Macaca mulatta: one gene and its partner. The protein of the gene in region 1 interacts with the protein of each later gene in a pairwise test. Links are inferred from orthologs where the notes say so. Each region holds a gene or a part of one and is shown on either strand. Other genes may lie near its edges.

Region 1 (10,425 bases):
CCTTGTGCTGGTTTCCTAATGTTGCCTGGCATCACTTGGCAGAGAAAGAAAGTAGCAGCTAATTCCTTTTTGTCTTGGTAGACGCCTCGGCTTGTGCCCTGGAAGCCTTACTCCTCTCAAAAACATCTGGCTGGGTGTGGTGGCTCACTCTTATAATCCCAACACTTTGGGAGGCCAAGGTGGGCACATCACTTGAGGCCAGGAGTTCAAGACCAGCCTGGCCAACATGGCAAAACCTTGTCTCTACTAAAAAAATAAAAATTAGCCGGGCGTGGTGGCGGTGCACCTGTAATTCCAGCTACTCAGGAGGCCGAGGCATGAGAATCATTTGAGTCCAGGAGGCAGAGGTTGCAGTGAGCGGAGATTACGCCATTGTACTCCAGCTTGGGTGACAGAACAAAACTCCTCAAAAAACAAAACAAAACAAAACATCTGGTCAGAAGCTCCATTCTCACTTTCTTTCCTTCCTACAAAATTTTCTGCTTGGAAAGTAGGTCTATAAATCAGGAAATTGATAACAACAATTAATATGTTGGAAAAGTGAACATTTATATATCTCCATTGATGGAGCCTAGCTTCTGGGTAGGCTTTTCTGTATCTTGAGCATACCACTTACCGCTTTGTTTTTGTTCTTAGAAATTACGACTTTGCATGGAGAAAGTTGACCAGAAAGCTCCAGAATACATCAGGATGGCAGCATCATTAAAGTAAGCTATTCATCTATGTTTTTCTAATCCAGTGGTGACTGTTTTCTGGCATCTTAGGTCAGTTCTCCAGTAGCCAAAAATGAAAATCTTAACTTCAACTGTGCTTTTTTTCTGAGACCAGCTGAAGTTGGTTTTTTTCCACTTTTGGCTGTTATGAAGAGAATCACCTTCATGTCTGTCTTTTAGTGGGGTACATGTTACCATCACATGAGCTTGTAAAAAGACAGCCACATTCAGTTGACCTTGGCTATTCTGACTGAGCAGGTTTGGGAAGGGCCTCAGACAATAGGTACTGCTGCTGAGTGCAGCATCTGGACAGAGCAGAGGAAGGGCAGTGGGTCTCATGCTCATGCCTGGGTAGATGCCACTTGAGTGTCACATTGAGGTGTCAGGGCTTAAAGTAGGCATGTCCATTAGAGCAGGGGCTGGCAGACTGCAGCCCATGGGCCAAATGTATCCTGACATCTGCTTTTTTTTTTTGTTTTTGACTCTGTCTCACTGTTGACAGGCTGGAGTGCAGTGACGTGATCTTGGCTCACTGCGACCTCCACCTCCCGGGTTCAAGTGATTCTCCTGCCTCAGTCTCTCAAGTAGCTGGGACTACAGGCACACACCACCACGCCCAGCTAATATATATATATATATATATATATATATATATATATATATATATTTTTTTTTTTGGCAGGGGGAGGGATGGAGTCTTGCTGTGTCGCCCAGGCTGGAGTGCAGTGGCGCAATCTGGGCTCACTGCAACCTCCACCTCCTGGATTCAAGCAATTCCCATGCCTCAGCCTCCCGTGTAGCTGGGATTACAGGCACACGCCAACATGCCCTGCTAATTTTTTTATATTTTTAGTAGAGACGGGGTTTCACCATGTTGGCCAGGATGGTCTTGATCTCTTGACCTCATGATCCACCCACCTCAGCTTCCCAAAGTGCTGGGATTACAGGCGTGAGCCACTGCCCTTGGCCAACATCTGCTTCTTTTTTAAAATCGAGATGTAGTTCATACACTATAAACTTTACCCTTTTAAAGTGTACAGTTCGGTGGTTTTTAGTGTATTCACAAAATTATGCGAACATTACCACTGTCTTCATTCTAAACATTTTCATCACCCCAATAGGAAACCCCATACATTAGCAGCCACTGCCCTTTCCCCATCTCCCTGGACACCACTAATCTATTTCCCGTCTCTATGGATTTGTTTGTTTTTGACATTTCATATAAATAGAATCATAAATATAAAATCTCTCTTGTCTGGCTTCTTTCACAAAGTGTAATGTTTTTAAGATTCATCCATGTTGTTGCATATATCAGTACTTCATTGCATCTGTATGAATGTGTTGTGTGGATACTTGTCACATTTTGTTGATCCATCAGTTGTTGAACATTTGGTATTTTTCCACTTTTGGCTGTTATAAATAATGCTCCTGTAATATTTGTGTACAAGTTTTTATGGTTTTTGTGTAGACATGTTTTCATTTCTCTCAGGTAGGTACCTAGGAGTGGAATTGCTGGGTTTTATGCTAACTATATATTACCATAGAGTAACATTCCATAGAGGAGTTGCTAAATCGTTTTCTAGAATGACTGCACTATTTTGCATTCCCACTAGCAGTGTATGAGGGTTTCACTTTCTTTTTAGCCTTACTAATACTAGTTATTGCCACCTGTTTGCATAAAGTTTTATTGGAACACAGCCATGCCCATGTTTGATTACTGGTTGTAGCTGCTTTTGCACCACCACGACAGAGTTGAATAGCAACAACAGAGACTTTGTGGCCTGCAAAGCTGAAAACATTTATGATTTGGCTCCTTATGGAAAAAATTTGCTGATCCCTGTTTAAGGGCATGGCTTTTTCTGAAGCTTAGTGTTTGTGACCTAGAAGTTGAAGTGCTAACTACTAGAGTCAGATCCCAGTAGTGTTTTCCCAACCTATAGGAAAAGAATTAATTATGGTATCCAGTGTTATTAATTTCAGAGTTTTCTGACTTTGTCTTAAACCTGTGTTGCCTCTCTGCCACATTTAAAGCAATGCATGTAGCAGTAGATTTGCCTTGTTTAAAACAAAACCATGTGTGTGTGTGTGTGTGTATATATATATATATATATATATTTTTTTTTTTTTTTTTTCTTGAGACCAAGTTTTGTTCTGTCGCCTAGGCTGGAATGCAGTGTGCGACCTTGGCTCACTGCAACCTCCGCCTCCTGGTTCAAGCGATTCTCCTGCCTCAGCCTCCTGAGTAGCTGGGATTACAGGCACCCACTATGATGTCTGGCTAATTTTTGTATTTTTAGTAGAGACGGGGTTTCATCGTGTTGGCCAGGCTGGTCTCGAACCTCCTTGGGTACTTTTGAGCGAGAAAAGCCAAGTAGTTTTCTGCTTTTAATGTAACCAACTGATTTAGTAAACCACTTCTAACATCTTGTTAGAGGCAGTGGAATTGTTTAGAGAAAGTAGGCCAGAGTAAATTCAGCCGCATTTGTTTTGGTGATGAGCATAAGGGCTAGTCCTTGGAGGCGTCAACCTGAGTCTGTCCCTATTGTGTCTGCAAATCGAAACGTCACTTCCACTTGATTCATCATTCCAAGAGATGGACACTGCATTATATCCAAAAGTCTGAAATGCCACCTTTAGAGAATTACCTGCCTTTGTGAGGCCTTACACCTTTAGCATCCTTCTACACTATGCTGGCCAGTCTGCACTATGAAACTTAGGTCACGTGTCTCTGTGGTTTCTCCTTAGTGCTGGGGAGACAACCTACAGTCTGGAACATGCCAGTGACCTTCGAGTGGAAGTGCAGAAAGTGTATGAGCTGATAGACGCTTTAAGGTAAGGTCCATTAAGTGGTATCTTGCCCGCTGGTGGAATGGAGAAGATGCTGTTCTAATGAAATGGCGAAAGTAGACCTGCACTCACTCACACTTCTGGTGATGGGGCAGTGGGTGAGGAGGAGGGCAAGGAAGGGGCCAACTCTGGCACTTAATGCATCTCAGTGACTTTTGTTTCATTAAGGATTTCTAATGTTTGTTATTGTTAAAGAAAGAGGAGCTAGTTATTGACACCTATCATGTGCTACTCACTGGCTGTTTTCTCTAGAATAGCTCATTTATTCTGAAGTTACCCTGTGAGGTAGGGATTAACATCCTGTGTCAAAGGTGAGGAATCATGTCACAGATAGCAAAAGTTGTGGAGCAAAGATAGAAACTCGGGTTCTTTCTTTGTGTCTGTGCTCAAATCCACAACTGCTTTTTAACTGTGGACTGGCCATTGGGGTTAAATTAGCCCTTTGATTTATGGGAAGTACAGTGACTCAGAGGGAGAATGAGATGAGGCGCTTTTGTCCATCCAGACATACAGCATGGGCTACGTAGATGCAGGGCCTGGTACAAAGTGAAAATGCATGTCCCCTGTCCAAAAATTATTAAGAATAAAGACACTAACAGCAGAGCATTAAACTAAGCATAGGGCTCTTTGAAGTGCCAGTCCTTTCTAGTTGCATAGGTTGCTCACCTGTGAAGCTGGCTCTGCATGTGTAGTCAGTCCCTCCATGACAGTGTTGTGCGCCCTGTGCTGAGGCCTGTGTACGGCCAAAGGGTAAGAAATGGGCTTTGCCTTCAAGGAAACTTCGATGGAGTCACTTGCCCATCTTTACACACCTTCCTGGCATGAAAGCCTGGCAACTCCAGATGTTATACTTTTCACCCTTGTTTCTGAAGCTGGCAGTGCTCATTATATTCATGTGTTTGTTCCAATTCAGTAAGAAGATCTTAACCTTGGGCTTGAACCAGGATCCTCCACCACATCCAAGCAATTTGCGGCTGCAGAGAATGATCAGATACTCAGCTACACTTTTTGTGCAGGTAAAGCCATCCTGGGTTGGCATAAATGTCATGCTTGGCCTGTCCTGCTCTTTTGCTTCCCCAGAGGCAGATCCATGCCAGTGACTTGTTTACTTCCTATTTATACATTGTATTATTTTTTGAAATTATGAATGCATGATGCCACACTTAGAGAAAAATCTGGATTTCAGAGAAAACTAAAACTACTTTTAATCCTATGTCCCCATTACAATCACTCATTATTCTGGTATGTTTTCTTTTTTCCTATTTGTATTTTTTATATACAGTATTTACAATAGTGCATATTGACTGTATATGCCATTCTTTAACCGTTTTCCTTTAGTTGAGCATTTGATAGACTAATTTTTTGCTGCTGTTAATTGTTGCCATGATAGTAATACTGGTACTTAGTATTTCTTCCTTAGGATAATCTCCTAAGAGACTTCCTGAGCCATTAGCTGGGAGGAAACAGCCGATTAAGGGCAGACTAACCTAAGTGGTTAGGTCTGAATTGTGTCTTTCTACCCGTGAAGGCCCCTTCTGAGAGAGTCACAGTTAACCACCCTTGGGGCTCCCTGACAAAGAGATCTTTTTTTTCTTTTTTTTTTTTTAATTAAAACAAAGTGTTTTTTTCTTTTTTTTTCTTTCATTAAGTAGGGACAGGGTCTTACCATGTTGCCCAGGCTGGTCTCAAACTTTTGAGCTCAAGCAGTCTGCCCACCTCGGCCTCCAAAGTGCTGGGATTATAGGCGTGAACCACACTGCCCCCAGCCAACAAAGAGATCTAATAGATGGAGTCCTGTTGGGTTAGTTTTCTGACTTTGTAATACAGAGAAGTAGGTCCTTCCTCACTTTGATTAGTGATTCTATTCAGCAATCATTTATTGAGCGCCTCCTATATACCAGGTAGTGTTTTAGGTGCTGGATGTCCTATAGTGAACAAAAAAGACCAATGTTCCTGTTCTCATTAAGCTTGTGTTCTAAAGAAGGGGAGAGATCACAAACAACTAAAATATCTAGTATATAAGATAGCAAAAGTGCTGTGGAGAAATTTACAACAAGGAAGTGTGGGAGAGAGGACTGGGATTGAGGTTTGCTAATAGGATGGGCAGGGACAAGACCTCATAGAGAAGCTAACATTGGAGCCAGGTGAATAACTGGGATATCTGATGTTGATCATTTCATGAGGAAAATGCAGGCCCATTTGGAGTTGACTCTCACCCAATATAAGAGTGTGCTCCTTTCCGGCTACTGTCAAATGATGTCACTCTCGGAGAATAGAGTGGCTCAGCTTAAGCAAACTCTCATCATGGGGCTTAAGGGTCATTTTTTCTCTCAAAGGGTTTAAGTGTAAAATTGTCTGTCATTCCCTGCAGGAAAAGTTGCTTGGTTTGATGTCACTGCCAACCAAAGAACAGTTTGAGGAACTGAAAAAGAAAAGGAAGGAGGAAATGGAGAGGAAGAGGGCCATGGAGAGACAAGTGAGTGAAGCCAGGGATATGGGGCCCGCTTCCTCCTGTGGTTCTCAAGCACAGAGGCTGCCGTGAGCTCCCAGCTTGTGTGGGGTTGTAGTGAATCAGAACCTCTCTCTCAAATGTGCATATTTCTTCTGTTGTGTTTCAGCCTCACTTTTATCTATGGGAACTAGAATAATTGTTTTTCTCCCCAGGTCCTATTTTTCTTTCAGAGCTTCTGCTGATTCTCTCATGGCTAGAATATCACAGAGATTAACAGTTCTCCCTATGGCAGAAGTTGCAGAGGACCAAGACATTAGGAAGTTCCTTGTAGAACATATTGGTATATGCAATATTAAACAGAAAATTATATGTGTATTTAACGCTGTGTGAGATTCCAGTGTAGATGAGGGGAACAGACCTCAGAGGTTTAAGAAGAGTATATGGCCTGTGAATCTAAGATTGAGAAAATCTGATGCCCTAACTTATTCATTATATTTTATTTTTATTTTTGAAAATCAGGGTCTCCCTTCTGCCCACATATACACAAAAACATGACTTGATTTTAGCAGTTGGATATCTTTGTCCTGAGGTGAGAAATTGGAGTGTCACTGGCACAGGGATAGAGGGACAACAGAGGGTGGGTGACAGTGTGGGCTGTTGCCAGCATGGTGACTATTTCTTCTCTCTGCTTTGCTCTCTCCCCAGGCTGCCCTGGAGTCTCAGCGAAGGCTTGAGGAAAGGCAGAGTGGCCTGGCTTCTCGAGCAGCCAACGGGGAGGTGGCATCTCTCCGCAGGGGCTCTGCCCTCTTGAGAAAGGCTGAGGGCTGGCTCCCGCTGTCAGGAGGTCAGGGGCAGAGTGAGGACTCAGACCCGCTCCTCCAGCAGATCCACAACATCACATCATTCATCAGGCAGGCCAAGGCCGCGGGCCGCACGGATGAAGTGCGCACCCTGCAGGAGAACCTGCGGCAGCTACAGGACGAGTATGACCAGCAGCAGACAGAGAAGGCCATCGAGCTGTCCCGGAGGCAGGCTGAGGAGGAGGACCTGCAGCGGGAACAGCTGCAGATGCTGCGTGAACGGGAGTTGGAACGAGAAAGGGAGCAGTTTCGGGTGGCATCCCTGCACACACGGACTCGGTCCCTGGACTTCCGAGAAATCGGCCCTTTTCAGCTGGAGCCCAGCAGAGAGCCTCGCACCCACCTTGCTTATGCTTTGGATCTAGGCTCTTCCCCAGTTCCAAGCAGCACAGCTCCCAAGACCCCGTCACCTAGCTCAACTCAACAGCCCACCAGAGTGTGGTCTGGGCCCCCAGCCCTTGGCCAGGAGCTCTTAACCCAGAGCAGCATGCCACAGCAACATGAGGGGCCCTCCTTAAACCCCTTTGATGAGGAAGACCTCTCCAGCCCCATGGAAGAGGGCACTACTAGTCCTCCTGCTGCCGGGGTTTCCTTCGACCCTTCAGCCCGCATGCTGAAAGAGTACAATCCTTTCGAGGAAGAGGACGAGGAGGAGGAGGCAGTGGCAGGGAATCCATTCATTCAGCCAGACAGCCCAGCTCCTAACCCCTTCAACGAGGAAGATGAACATCCCCAGCAGAGGCCCTCAAGCCCTCTGGTTCCTGGCAACCCCTTTGAGGAACCCACCTGTACCAACCCCTTTGAGATGGACAGTGACAGTGGGCCGGAGGCTGAGGAGCCCATAGAGGAAGAGCTCCTCCTGCAGCAGATCGATAACATCAAGGCATACATCTTTGATGCCAAGCAGTGTGGCCGCCTAGATGAGGTAGAGGTGCTGACAGAGAACCTGCGGGAGCTGAAGCACACCCTGGCCAAGCAGAAGGGGGGCACTGACTGACTGGCAGTGGAGAGGGCACCTTTGGGCCCAGGGGTCTGGCAGGAGCCAGTGGAGCAGGACAGAGGGCAGGCAGGGTGGATGGGGAAGGTGGCAGGGTGAGAAGTCAGATGCACACAGGTGAGGGGCAGGAATCTGCTGTTTTGTGTTGTGCACTTTGAGGTGTTTCCACTACAGTTGAATAATAGAATAGAAACTAGAACAGGGAGAATCAGCATTTATTTGCTGTTTTTCCTGTTTATTATTACTATCTTTTGTAATTGGAGGTTTACCCCTTTTGAAGGGACTTTACATTTTTACTATCGAGATATAACTAAATGCAGCTCTGTTGGGCCCAGGGCAGAAATGGCTGCTGTGTACCTCTTGGGTCTATTTGCTACTGCCTAGTCTTGGTTCCTTTTGCAGTATTATAGGGCAGCCTTTATAGAGCCCTTCTTTAGCCAAGACAGAGAAGATAGATTCCACTGAGCTATATTCTGCTCTGACAGAAGTCCATCCCTAGTAGGCTTTGAGTTCCATTTCACCTGGGGCCGCCTCTCCCCTGCTCTGCGCTTCCTGTCTGTACAATAGCAGGGGGAAGTGCTGCTATGAAGGGGAGAGTTTAGATCCAGGAGAGCCCAGCACCTCTTTTTAAGGTGGGGTGATGGGAACATTTCACCAGGGTCTATTTTCTCAGTTTAAGTTGTTTTTTGTCTCTTTCAGGAAGTTAAGCTGCCAGTGCAGGGTATCAGTGTGAATCTGGTCCTGAGCTTTTTAGAAAATAAGAGTGGTTAACTTTTTGGTTGATACTAGTATTACTTGTGAGAAGAGTTTCCCCACCCTTGTTCTGATGGAACAATTGTCTGTCACTGGAGAAATCTCCCTCCAGAGCTTTGGCAAAGTTACTCTGATCTGGGTCTGTTTAAAAGGCCTGGTCTCTAATTTAGGAATCGGTGATCTGGAAGCTTTTGCAAAACATCACCAGAAGAAGGGAAGCTTCCCAGAGTCAGAAGCTAAATTAATTTCCAAGGCTATTGGATCAGCCGTCTTCCCTTCTGGTTCACTGTGTTCTGACCTGGGGCACTGATGAGATTTTTTTTGTTTGTTTGTTTTTGAGACAAGAGTCTCACTTTGTTGCCCAGGCTGGAGTGCAGTAGCATGATCTCAGCTCACTGCAACCTCCACCTCCCCAGTTCACGTGATTCTTGTGTCTCAGCCACCTGAATAGCTGGGATTACAGGTGTGGACCACCATGCCTGGCTAATCTCTCTATTTTTAGTAGAGATGGGGTTTCACTGTTTTGACCAGGCTGGTTTTGAACTCCTGGCCTCAAGTGATCTGCCACCTTGGCCTCCCAAAGTGCTGGGAATACAGGCGTGAGCCACTGTGCCCGCCCTGATGAGATGTTTTATTACCAATGTTAGTATTAAGAAACTGAAATGTTTGAAGAAGCACAACCCAGGATCGTGCTGGTAGTACCCACAGTACTTAACTATTAGTCAATTAAGACCAGAAAGGGAAATTGTTAATTTAGCTCTGGTGCTTTGGTTTACAGGAACATAACCCTTAACTGACATCTGATATCATGATAGCCACATGTGCTCAGCTCCGGGTAGAGTTTCTGCAGTTACTCATCTTAACTAATGAACAATAACTGACCACTGGTCACTTTATGCCCTGTAACTAGCTTTAGGCCATACTTTCACTGGTTACTGGTGTGAGAGCTGAAATTAATTTTGTTACATTCTGGTGAAGATCCCTCTTGATAATGGGAATGTTTGAACTCTCTTGATGAAAAAATAATCTGTATTTGTGTTGATGTTCACATTTCTGTATCACATTTCTTATCCTTTTGGTTGAATGAAAAGGTCTTGTATAGGGTATGGAGACGGGGAGTGGGGACCCTTTGCATTTGGGATCTGTTCACAAACAGCCATACGAGTGGGTTAACGAATGTCAGCCAGTTACTAGCCCTGCTGGTGGTTATGGGTTGTTTTGAGAAGTTGGCAACCAGGCATCTAAGATGTTGCCTGGTACAGGCCTCTTTTCTTCCCTGAGGCCCATGACATTTCTCTGATACTCCAGAGGGTTTCCTAGATGGCCAGTAGGCTCCTCCCTGCTTAGGCTCTAATTTCTCTGAAAAGAGGATGAACTGAAAAGCAGGTAGTTTCAGAAGCTAATTGCTGCTTTCCATCATAATTATTTTTCTTGTGAGAACATTTCTCTTTTAATTAGCTAGTGATTTTGATTAACACTAATTCACTAAACATACCCCTTCCCTCAAATCACCTCAGGTAACAATCTGTAAGTAACTAAAAGCATTGAGAAACACACAAGAAACATTTTTTAAACCTATTTTTAAAGGCCCGGCTGGGTGCAGTGGCTCATGCCTGTAATCCCAGCACTTTGGGAAGCTGAGGCGGGTGGATCACCTGAGGTCAGGAATTTGAGACCAGCATGGCCAACATGGTGAAACCTCGTCTCTACTAAAAATACAAAAATTAGCTGGGCGTGGTGGCAGACGCCTGTAATCCCAGCTACTCAGGGAGGCTGAGGCACGAGAATCGCTTGAACCTAGGA
Region 2 (10,525 bases), on another chromosome or scaffold:
AAAAGGAATAAGAAATGAATAGCCAAGTACTCACTATCAAATTTGAGAGATAATCGCCTGGCCAACATGGTGAAACCCCATCTCTACTAAAAATACAAAAATTAGCCAGGCGTGGTGGCTCATGCCTGTAGTCCCAGCTACTTCGGAGGCTGAGGCAGGCGGAGAAACTCTCGAATCCAGGAGGTAGAGGTTGCAGTAGGCCGAGATGGCACCACTGCACTCCAGCCTGGGCGACAGAGGAAAACCCTGTCTCAAAAAAAAAAAAAAAAAGAAAAAGAAAAAGAAAAGAAAAAGAAAGAAAACAGTGTATATATAGTTGAAGCTCCTTGTGTTTTGTGTACCCATCCCCAATGCCATTTCCCTTTTTAGTCCCCAGAGAACACCTCATTCCTGACTAGTGTTTTATGTTCCTTTGCTTCTCTTTTAAAAATTTTCAATGCACACATATGCATCCATGAACAACAGATAGTGGTTTTTACATGACCGAAAACATTAATGAAATTGTATGATTCTATGCATAATAGCCTACTTCTGGCTTTATTCACTCAACACTATATTTTGGCATCGGTAGCACCACTTTCCTCATTTTTCTCATCTGTAGAGTATGTATTTTTTGTAACTTTTATTTCAGGTTCAGGTTCAGGTTTGTTATATAGGTAAACCTGTGTCATGGCGGTCTGCTGTACAGATTATTTCATCACCCAGGTGTTAAGTCTGGTACCCAATAGGTCTTGCTTTTTGTTCCTCTCCCTCCTCCCATCCTCCACCCTCAACTAGACCCCAGTGTGCTATATATTTCACATGAATGTGGTACAATTCATCCATTTACTCGGTGAAGGACATTTAGTTGTTTATATATTTTTGCTGCTACAAATAATGCTACCATCAACATTCTTAGACTTATCTCCCTATGCACATGTGCAAGAGTTTCTCTAGATCATGCCTTGAAATAGAATGGCAGGTCATGCACATCTTCAGCTTCACGAAGCAATGCCACATTGTTTCCCAAAGTGTTTGTGCCAGCCTGCACACCCACCAGCATTTTATGAGAGCTCCCATGGCTCTACATCCTCACCAACCTTGGTATCATCCAACTATTTCATTCTTGCCATTTTGGTGGGTATGGAGTGTTAGTGTGGTTTGGCATTTCTCTAATTACTAATGAGATGCAACATCTTTTCTTGTGTTTATAGGACATTCATGTAGCCTCTTGTAAAAGACATTTTTGTGGCTCTTGCCAAGTTTTTGTCTATTGGAATGTTTGTCTTTTTTTAATCAATGTACAGGCATTAATTCTATATTCTGGATATGCTTTTGTGGGTTTTTGTGTATGGGAAATATCTTTTCACTCACTTTTTTATTTTTAGTTGAACGACAGTTTAAAATTTTGCTAGTGCTAAACTTAGTTTTTTTCATTTTCAGTTTGTACTTCTGATATCTTGTTTAAAGAATTCTTCCTGACTTTGTGGTGATATATATGCAATCTCTAAAGCAACTTCTGTAGATATCAGGTTTCCAAATTTCCTGGCTATTTACTGTGTCGTTATTCTGTTGGTCTCTGTGCCAAAACCATCTTAACCACTGCAACTTTATAGTAATGTCCACTAGGGCAAGTTCTCTTCACTTAGTTGTTGACATTGCTATGTTACTGTTGTCTTCTTCTCTTCCCTGTTCTCCTTTTTCTTCCCTCCTTCCCCTTCCACCTCTCCCTCTCCTCCTCCTCCTCCTCCTTGTTCCTCTTATCTTCTTTCTTCTCCTGGAATATCTAAGCTATATTTTACTATTGCTCTATATGCTATACATTTTAGAATCACCTTGTCAATTTCCATGGAAAACCTTATTTAGATTTTGATTTCAATCATATCTCTCAACTATTGAATTTATCAATTATGTTGTAAAAATTCACATGTTTGTGACACGGAATCTTTCCACGATGGAACATGACATGTCTCTCCCATTTATTTAGAACTTCTTTAACATCTTTCTATAAAGTTTTATCATTTTTCACATAAAGATCTTGCACATCTTTTGTTAGATTTATCCCTAGGTTTTTGTTCTTTTGAAAATGGTATCTTTTTTGAATATTATCTTTTATGACTTTTTATTGCTAGTCTACAGAAATGCTCCATTAGTTCCTTTTTTAAACAGACAGATTTCAACTACTCAAGACTCAGACGGGAGTAGATGTGTCAACAGGCACTCAGCAAATTAGATATTCAGAACAGACATTCAGCAGACAATGGCATGGTTGTACTGATTACAAAATTCTTGAAATATTTCCATAATGGGGCCCCTTGATTTCTTTCCTGTCACGCTGGCCATCCTGTCCTCTCCCCGGGGACAGGCCCAGACCTCTCCAAGGTCCAGACACCACTGTATTAACACCAGGTATGGCACAGGGCTCAAGTCTTGTTCCACTGGGAAGGCCAGTGTCTGTTCTGGGTGTTTGATTCTCATACCTTGTGAGTTGTTAAATATCTTTAATATTATTTCTTAGGTTTGTATGCTGGTAGTAACTAAATACCAAGGGTGAAATATTAATCTGAGTGAATTCTCAACAAGAGGTGATCAGTTTTGGGTTTCAAGGACAGAGTCGGGAGATCTGAGATGTAACTAAGGAGATTCTATTCAGCACTGGCCTCTGATCAATCCGCCCTCCTCTGAAATCCCTGCAGCTTCACCATACTCTTCTTGAAGCTCCTGCAGGCACTTCAAATGCAACATGTTTTAGTTTAAATACATTATATCTGTCTGCTAAATCAGCTCTCTCTGTGCCTCCCCTAAATAGTGGAAGAGCTTCTCCGACGATCTTATCCCCTATGGTAGAAAATTCAAAATCATCCTAGACTGTGCCTCACCCTGATGTCCTCTTTTTTATCACGTACCAAGATCTGACAATTCTATTCCATGAAAAAATCTTTTGAGTCTGACCTCTTCTACAATCCCATTGCTGCTGTCAAGTTTTGGAATCGTTTCCTAAATGGTCTCTTGGCCTCTGTATTAGTCTGTTTTCACACAGCTATGAAGAAATACCCAAGACTGGGTAATTTATAAAGGAAAAAGGTTTAATTAACTCACAGCTCTGCATGGCTAGGGAGGCCTCAGGAAACTTACAATCATGGTGAAAGGGGAAGCAAACACGTCCTTCACAAGGTGGCAGGAGAAAGAAGTGTGAGGAGCGAAGCGGGAAGAGCCCCTTATAAAACCATCAGCTCTCACGAGAACTCACTCAGTATCATGAGAACAGCATGAAGGAAACTGTTCCCATGATCCAATCTCCTCCCACCAGCTCTGTCCCTAGACACGTGGGGATTACGGGGATTACAATTAGAGATGAGATTTATGTGGGGACACAGAGCAAAACCATATCAATCTCCAACCTCTTGCTCCTCCAGTCCCTGCCCCCGACACTGCTCTTGGCATTCCAGTCCCTGCCTGGTCCATAACCTCCTCCTTCTTCATCTGTGAAAGGGAGGGTAGTGGGAGCCATCAGCCTGGGCAGGGAAGAGTGTTTTCTCACTATACTGTTTAGAATGGTGCCAATACAAAGCACATCAACTTTCAGCCAGTTTATTACTGGGTTTAAATTCTCTACACACAATGCACTGCTTTTGCCTACACCTGAACGGTGTTCCCACTCACTCTCCTTGGTGTGATGCCGGAGATAATATGATCTGCTATGAAGGTTAAATAAAGCAATGTTCACTGAGAACTCAGCCCAGGCCCCTGTACATGCTGAGCATTTTGTTAATGTAACAATGATTAGTAATAGCATTGTTATTGGTTCCTCATCTCTGGCAAAGCCTTCCATGCTTGGCCTCCCTCACTCTCTTCCACCTTCCTAAACCCTACACTCCAGCTATGCCAAACAGTTTACTCTGCCTTAGACACACCAAGTTCTCCCATGTTCCTCAAGCCTTTGCAAATGCTCCTTATGCTGCTAGAATAATGAATGTCAATTCATCATTTAGGATCCAGCTTACAGTCATGCTTTCCGTGAAGCATTCCTCAAATTAGCCACACAAAAGGAGTGAATCCTCCCTGTATTCCCATGGCCCTCTGCTCATGCCTCCTCTTTAAAGCCTGCCTTCACTGGAGTTCCTGGAAGGAAGAGTCTGTTCAGCACTCATCTCTGTATCCACAGTCACCAAAATTGTATCTGCCCCATAATAAATGCCCAATACTTGCAGGGATTTTGCTTGTTGGCTTGTTTTGTTTTGCTGGAATGAACGAATAAATAAAAGGGAACGATTATGACTTCACCCTAAGCCTAGCTAAAAGTTTGGGTAGTGACAGTTTTGGTCATTTTGTGGAACCTGATAGCGGATCCTTCTTTCTATGCCAAAAAAAAAAAAAAAAAATCCCAAATAGTAGAGTACCTGTTTTCCTAGGGAATTGACCTCAGCAACCGAAGGAGAGGCGATTCAATGCAGGGAGGGTGATGAACAGGTCAACTCTGTCCTCGCAGCCGTCCCTGAGAGGGCGCTGTTCCCAAATCGAAGCCCCAGAGGCGGAGACTGAGACATCGGCGCTCTCCCCCGGGACTGGGTCAGCATCCCTCTACCCGCGCGGCCGCAGGTCTGGAGCGGAGCGCCTGCCCACAAACATGGCGGCGCCCTGCGCGGCTTCCCGTCGCCGGGACCGTGGGGCCGGCCCTGCCTTGCCAGTACTCGGGGACTTCCTCCGCGCTCCGGCTTCCTGCCCAGCTGGCATTTAAACCAGCGCCTGGGGCTGCAGGATGCTGCTGCGGATGCGGAGCTGTCCGCGGGCTGGGCAGCGTCGCCGCCTCCCCTGAGCCGCCTCGGTCCGGCAGGAGCGGAGCCGAAGCATCCCTTGCTGCACGCAGGGCAGAGCAGGCAAGGGCTGGGGGCCGATCGGGGACCCCGGCATCTGGCAGTTTCCTTGCAGGTTCGACTTTAATTTCCAAGATTGCACCCCTCCTCCTCTAGCCCAGATCATTAATCCTCCCTCCGGCCTGGGCTGCTGGATGCAGCGGCGGCCGGACTTGGTCCCAGGAGCAGGGAGAGTGCGCTCCCGGCCCTCCTAGCCGCGTGCCCGGGCCATGGTGCGGCTGAGCTCCGCGCTTGGGTGAGGCGGCGGCGCGGCTCGGAGCCCGGTGGACCGGTCCTACGGGACATCTTTCCCTGAGGAGGAGTCTTCCCCTGGGGCTGCGTGCCGGGGACGAGCGGCGGCCGCGATGTTCAGCTGGCTGGGTACGGACGACCGCCGGAGGAAGGACCCCGAGGTTTTCCAGACGGTGAGTGAGGGGCTCAAGAAACTCTACAAGAGCAAGCTGCTGCCCTTGGAAGAGCATTACCGCTTCCACGAGTTCCACTCGCCCGCCCTGGAGGATGCCGACTTCGACAACAAGCCCATGGTTCTGCTGGTGGGCCAGTACTCCACTGGGAAGACCACCTTCATCAGGTGAGCCGGCCCAGGGTCCCGGCAGCCCACCCCGGAGCCCAGCACCTAGTCCCTCCGGTCACTCCTGGTGCTCCACTCCTGACAGGGGACCAATGGGAAGCCTTCAGTTGAGGGCTCTGAAGATATATGTGTGTGTGCAGGCGTCAAAATCTTACCCCATAATTTTTGCTGGTCCCCCTTCCCATGCTACCCAATACCTGTACACTCTACTTGGCCCTTGGCTCTAGTGGTCAACCTGAAGTATTCAAGTGTAAAGCCATTCCTGGTCTCCCCATCTTATGGATGATGAAATCGAGCCCCAGGAGGCACAATGGAAGAGCTCCTGGTCTCTGGAGCGCCTCATGCTGGTGGGGATGTCTTGCATCTTCACTTTTTAGAAACACATCATTTCGGGCAAAACCTCTTCCCTTGCTTTTCAAGGGGCTTGGCACTCACTTGGGGGCCTCACAGTTGCAGCTGAGTTCTGATGGGTGCAGGCCTGGGGACGGAGGTGGCCTGGGGATGCTACTTGTCCTTCTTTTATCATTTCCTTCTCTAAAGCAGAGCTCCTGTGTATATATGTATCTTGGAGACTCGACGGAGTCCAGAAGCAGAATGTTTTTTTTTTTTCTTTTCTCTTATTTGATCTTAATGGCTCGATAATAATATTAAAGACTCTTAGAGGTGGAAGGGATATTGGCATTGTCTCATCCAGTTCCTGACTTTGCAGGTGAGATAACTGAGGCACAGAGAAGTTAAATGAATTGTGCAGAGCCATCTAAAGAGTGGGCAGCAGACCTGGGATCTAAGTCCTAGATGCATGTGAGGAGATGGTTGGCTAAACGCCTGTAACTCTGAGAGTGAGTCATCCATTCCCTTCAGTTACAGAATCCATGGGCTGGAGAGAAGCTCAAGAAGTCAATTTGTTCACCCTGCATTCAGAGAGGTCCACCAGAGGCCCTTCCTATCTTTAGATAACAGGCTTCTCTCCAGTCGTCAATCCTCCCAACTTCAAGGCCGGCCATTTTTCTTGGCCTCTTTTACAGCCATTCCAAACTGTTGAGAATGCTGTGGCCCTCTGTCTTAAGAGTCAGGCTCCCACAGACTGAGAATGGAGTTTGGTGGACCCCCAAAGTCAAGCGTGCTCATCTCCTGCAGAGGGTTTGGAAAGCAGGGGTACCCGTGTTCCTATTCCTTGGCTGTCTGAGCATCCACAGCATGTGAAATGCTGTGCTTTGTTTGGTGAGGAGAGCAGAAAAGTTAACAGTCTAGTTACTAATTTTCTAGGTACTAATTTTCTCTAACATCGACCTTGTAACACAAGCCTTCTGGAAGTAGCACCATGCTAATAGGTGATGTCTAAACACAACACCACATTGAGTTTGTCCTTGTGGAGTACACAGCCTAGGGCTCAGCAGCTTTAAGAGGCCAAGTGATTTCTGAAGGAGTTTGGGAGATGGGCCTGTTGGCTCTTGTATGTTTTGTATTGATAGAACTGCAAGAGGCCTTTGAGATTAATCTAATCCATTGCTTCTTAACTTTCTATCTTTAGAAAAATGTACATGCATCCCAAATTTGCATATAATGTTGGGAGTGCAAGGGCCATCTTTGGACTTCAGGGTGGGAATCCCTGATCTAAGCCATGCCCCTTGTTTTATTAAGCACCCATTGCTGCCAAAGGCACTTCAGAGCTGCCTGGGTTGTGTGCAGGGTTTCCTTTGTGAGCCCTGGCCTCCACTTGGCCCATTCATGCCTCAAGGGAAATACAGGCCATTTGCAGATGGCCCTTGCCCTCTCAGCCTTCCCTGGCTCTCTGCACATATGGTATTTATAACCTTTCCTACATTATTTGTAGCTTCTCCTTCCTGGAGTACGATCACTGACAAGACAACATCCATGCCTTAGCATCTCCGGGGCCTCTTCCAGGGTCTCAGCTATAGGAGGTTCCCAGCAGACATTTTGCAGAATGGAAGGGAAGATGGGGAGAGGCGAGGATCCCCAAGCAGCAGACAGGTTTAAGTGCCTTTTGTCTGAGACACTCTACCGGCTTTGCCTGAGTCATCGCTGGCTGTTAACTGGGTCTAAGAAAGTGGCAGAGTCAAATTGCCATAGATGATTCCTTATCTGAGGGAGACAGCAAGACTGGGAGAGACAGATCTCTCTTCTTTCTTATCCTCCATGTGCAATAGTTCCCTCTCTCCACTCATGTCAGCAACTGAATTTAGCTCATGCGTCAAAAGCTGTCTCCCCTTGGGGGAGTGTCAGCCAGCACTGTAGGAGGGGTCGTACCACAGGGAACCCTCCAGAACCAAATCGTGTACTTTTCTTCTTTCTCATAAAATCCAATAAACAGTTGTTTTTAATTGGAAAATATAGAAAAGAATAAATTTAAAGAAGAAAGAAAGTCACCCATAATCCCATGACTTAGGAGAAGCTATTTTAATTTACATATAAAACATTTATATATAAAGCATATAATTTATATATAAAATATATTTCCAGTATTTGTAGCTATTTTATAGCACAGTTGAGATCATGCTGTACATGTAATTTTGTGTGCTGGCTTGTTTGTTTTTTTTTTTTTTTTTTTTTTGAGATGGAGTCTCACTGTGTCACCCAGGCTGGAGTACAATGGCACAATCTCGGCTCACTGCAACCTCCGCCTCCTGTGTTCAAGCAACTCTCCTGCCTCAGCCTCCCAAGTAGCTGGGGTTACAGGCGCCCGCTACCACGCCTGGCTAATTTTTGTATTTTAAGTAGAGATGGGGTTTCGCCATGTTAGGCAGACTGGTCTCGAACTCCTGACCTCAGGGTGTCCACCCACCTCAGCCTCCCAAAGTGCTGGGGATTACAGACGTGAGCTACTGCATCTGAGTTTTTCTTACTTATAGCGTGAACATTTCCCATGTTATAAGCATTATTTGTAAGCATTATTTTTAACAACTGCATACTATTTCACTGTTTGTATATACAATTATTCATTTAACTAATGAGTAATAACTAATGAATAGCATTGTTTTTAACAGCTACATACTATTTCATTGTGTGTATATACGAGTCTTCATTTGCTTAATCTACTTCTCTTGGATGTTTTAGGCTATTTCTAATTTTTTGTTATTGTAGAATAATTCTGAATATCTCTGTGTATAATATTTTTTCCTATATTGTGTGTGTGGTTTTTTTGGTTTTTGTTTTTGTTTTTTGTTTTTGTTTTTTTTTTTTTTTGAGATTCCCAGAAGTGGAATTGCTAGGCCAAAGGTTGGGCAGAGTTTTGTTTAAATTATTTTTTAACTTTAAAATTTTTGTATTAAGAGTCATATTTGGCAGTTGTTTTCCAAGAGGGTGAGTTGACACTGCATCCCTTCCCCAGAGCGAGTGAGGCTGCTCTGGGGTGGATAAATGCGTCCATGCCTAGGTCTCAGAAGGTCTCCTCCCCTCCCTTCTCCCATCCCTGCTTCTCGCCTTGATTCTCGTCTCCATCCCAGGCCTGAACCTGTGAGGGGCCTTTTCCTCAGAAACAAAGACTTGCCTCTTCATTCCCCCAGTTCTTGGCGTTTTGCCCCTGAGGGTCCATCTACTTTGTTATATGTGCTCGCCACGGGGTCTATTTCTTGTCTCAGGAAGAACACACAGAAAAGGACATTCTTCTAATAACTAATTAATGTGCTGTGATCTTTGCCTGAAATAACTTCCCTGGCCTAAGGCCCGGCAACACAGAGTAATAAAATAAACAGTAAATTGGCTTGGCGGCTGCCCTCTCCAACACAGGCTGCCTCTTTGGAGTACAGTAGCTCTGTGTCCTCTGGCCCTGGCAGCCTTTCCTCCTGCCTCTGCTATTCTTCTCCGTTTGCTATTTCTCTGCCTGGCATGCAGCCTTGAATCCCTCCTTCCTTAGACCATCTGGCCCCTGGTCACTCTTTCTTGCTGCCTACTTCTGTGGCCCCTTATTCTGCAGGTAGTGGAGGTGAGTAGCTGGCTGCTCCAGGGGCCGAGAAAGGCCTGAGTACTTCCGTGGGCCATGAGGGAGGCCTCCCGGGACCTTGGCAGAGCTGAGATAGGGGCTCTAGCGGGTTGACTGTGGGGCCTGGGGCTGCAGAGCTAGGCTGCCCTGGGCTCCACAGGGAGGCTGGGCTGGTCTCGAGGGTTGCACGGACCTTCTATCATGTGACTTGGACTCTGAGGCATGAGCACACGGTGGGGCTGCTGGGAGTCCACCCTGAGGGCTACTGAGCTGGCCCTTTCAGCTTCTCCCACTTCAGGAGACTGTGACCTCCCACCCCAAAGGCGACCTGGCATTTGCTGTGGCTGCACCAGCTCTCATCACCACCCTGACATCCCCACCCCAGACATTACAGCGCCACCGCACCGGGAAAGATGGTTCTCCAGAAAGCCAAAGGGATAAAGTAAGAGGACCACCACCCCAGTGGACCCACTCACTGCAAAGTCCATCCTGCCAGGCACAGCCCCTGCATCGCCTTCAGCCCTGTCCACCCACCGAGGCCAGGGGATGTCCTTAGTCTGTCAGGGTTCTGATCTGCTGGCTCTCTAAAGGGGCCTGGGTGAAAATCCACCTGCTTCTTACAAGGCCTGAGTGTTACACAAGGGAGCAGAAGGCCTTAAGCCAGAGAAACTGTGTCTACGTGCCTCAGCCTGGCTTAGGGGCTGCCTTGTAAGTCAGGTGCCTGGAAGTCATCAGGAAAAACATTTACTGGGAGGAGAAAGACCTCTGGGGAAAGGTCTCCCTCCCATTCCCATTGACAGTGGGACGAAGGCCATGGAACACAGTCCAAGTCAGCAGAATCCAGCTCCACCACTTCCTGCCCGGAGACCTGGTTAGGAAGGTCTGACAGAGGTCAGGCCACCTCCCCTTTCTGACCCGCAGTTTCCTTATCCATAAGATGCGAATAGTAATAACTGCCTCACAGCATTACTGACCGGATTCAGGGGGAGGCAGAACCAGTTTAGCACCAGCTGTGCTCCAGGCCCCGCGCATGGGGCTTTATCATTTCCTCTCCTCTCTTGAGCTGACTCTGATATGAGCTTAGAGGCAGGCTCTCAGGAAGGTGCGGGAAGGCCCTTCTCCAGCACGAAGGGGAGGGCTGGAGAAGAGGCACGTCGCTGA

Evidence for each region. The genes of interacting proteins can lie anywhere in the genome.
Region 2: the proteins of RBSN (region 1) and EHD3 interact in binary tests that used the Homo sapiens proteins (3 or more experiments, as listed by UniProt). The link is inferred for Macaca mulatta from reciprocal best matches to the Homo sapiens genes RBSN and EHD3.

What each region holds. Positions count from the first base shown.
Region 1 is NC_133407.1:153,876,827-153,887,251, reverse strand, and holds the end of RBSN (rabenosyn-5), read left to right. Parts: intron 1-636; coding exon 637-707; intron 708-3,458; coding exon 3,459-3,545; intron 3,546-4,473; coding exon 4,474-4,576; intron 4,577-5,931; coding exon 5,932-6,036; intron 6,037-6,717; coding exon 6,718-7,869; 3' UTR 7,870-9,672; downstream 9,673-10,425. UniProt on the Homo sapiens protein: Rab4/Rab5 effector protein acting in early endocytic membrane fusion and membrane trafficking of recycling endosomes. Required for endosome fusion either homotypically or with clathrin coated vesicles.
Region 2 is NC_133418.1:93,689,107-93,699,631, reverse strand, and holds the start of EHD3 (EH domain-containing protein 3), read left to right. Parts: upstream 1-4,599; 5' UTR 4,600-5,197; coding exon 5,198-5,424; intron 5,425-10,525. UniProt on the Homo sapiens protein: ATP- and membrane-binding protein that controls membrane reorganization/tubulation upon ATP hydrolysis. In vitro causes tubulation of endocytic membranes. Binding to phosphatidic acid induces its membrane tubulation activity.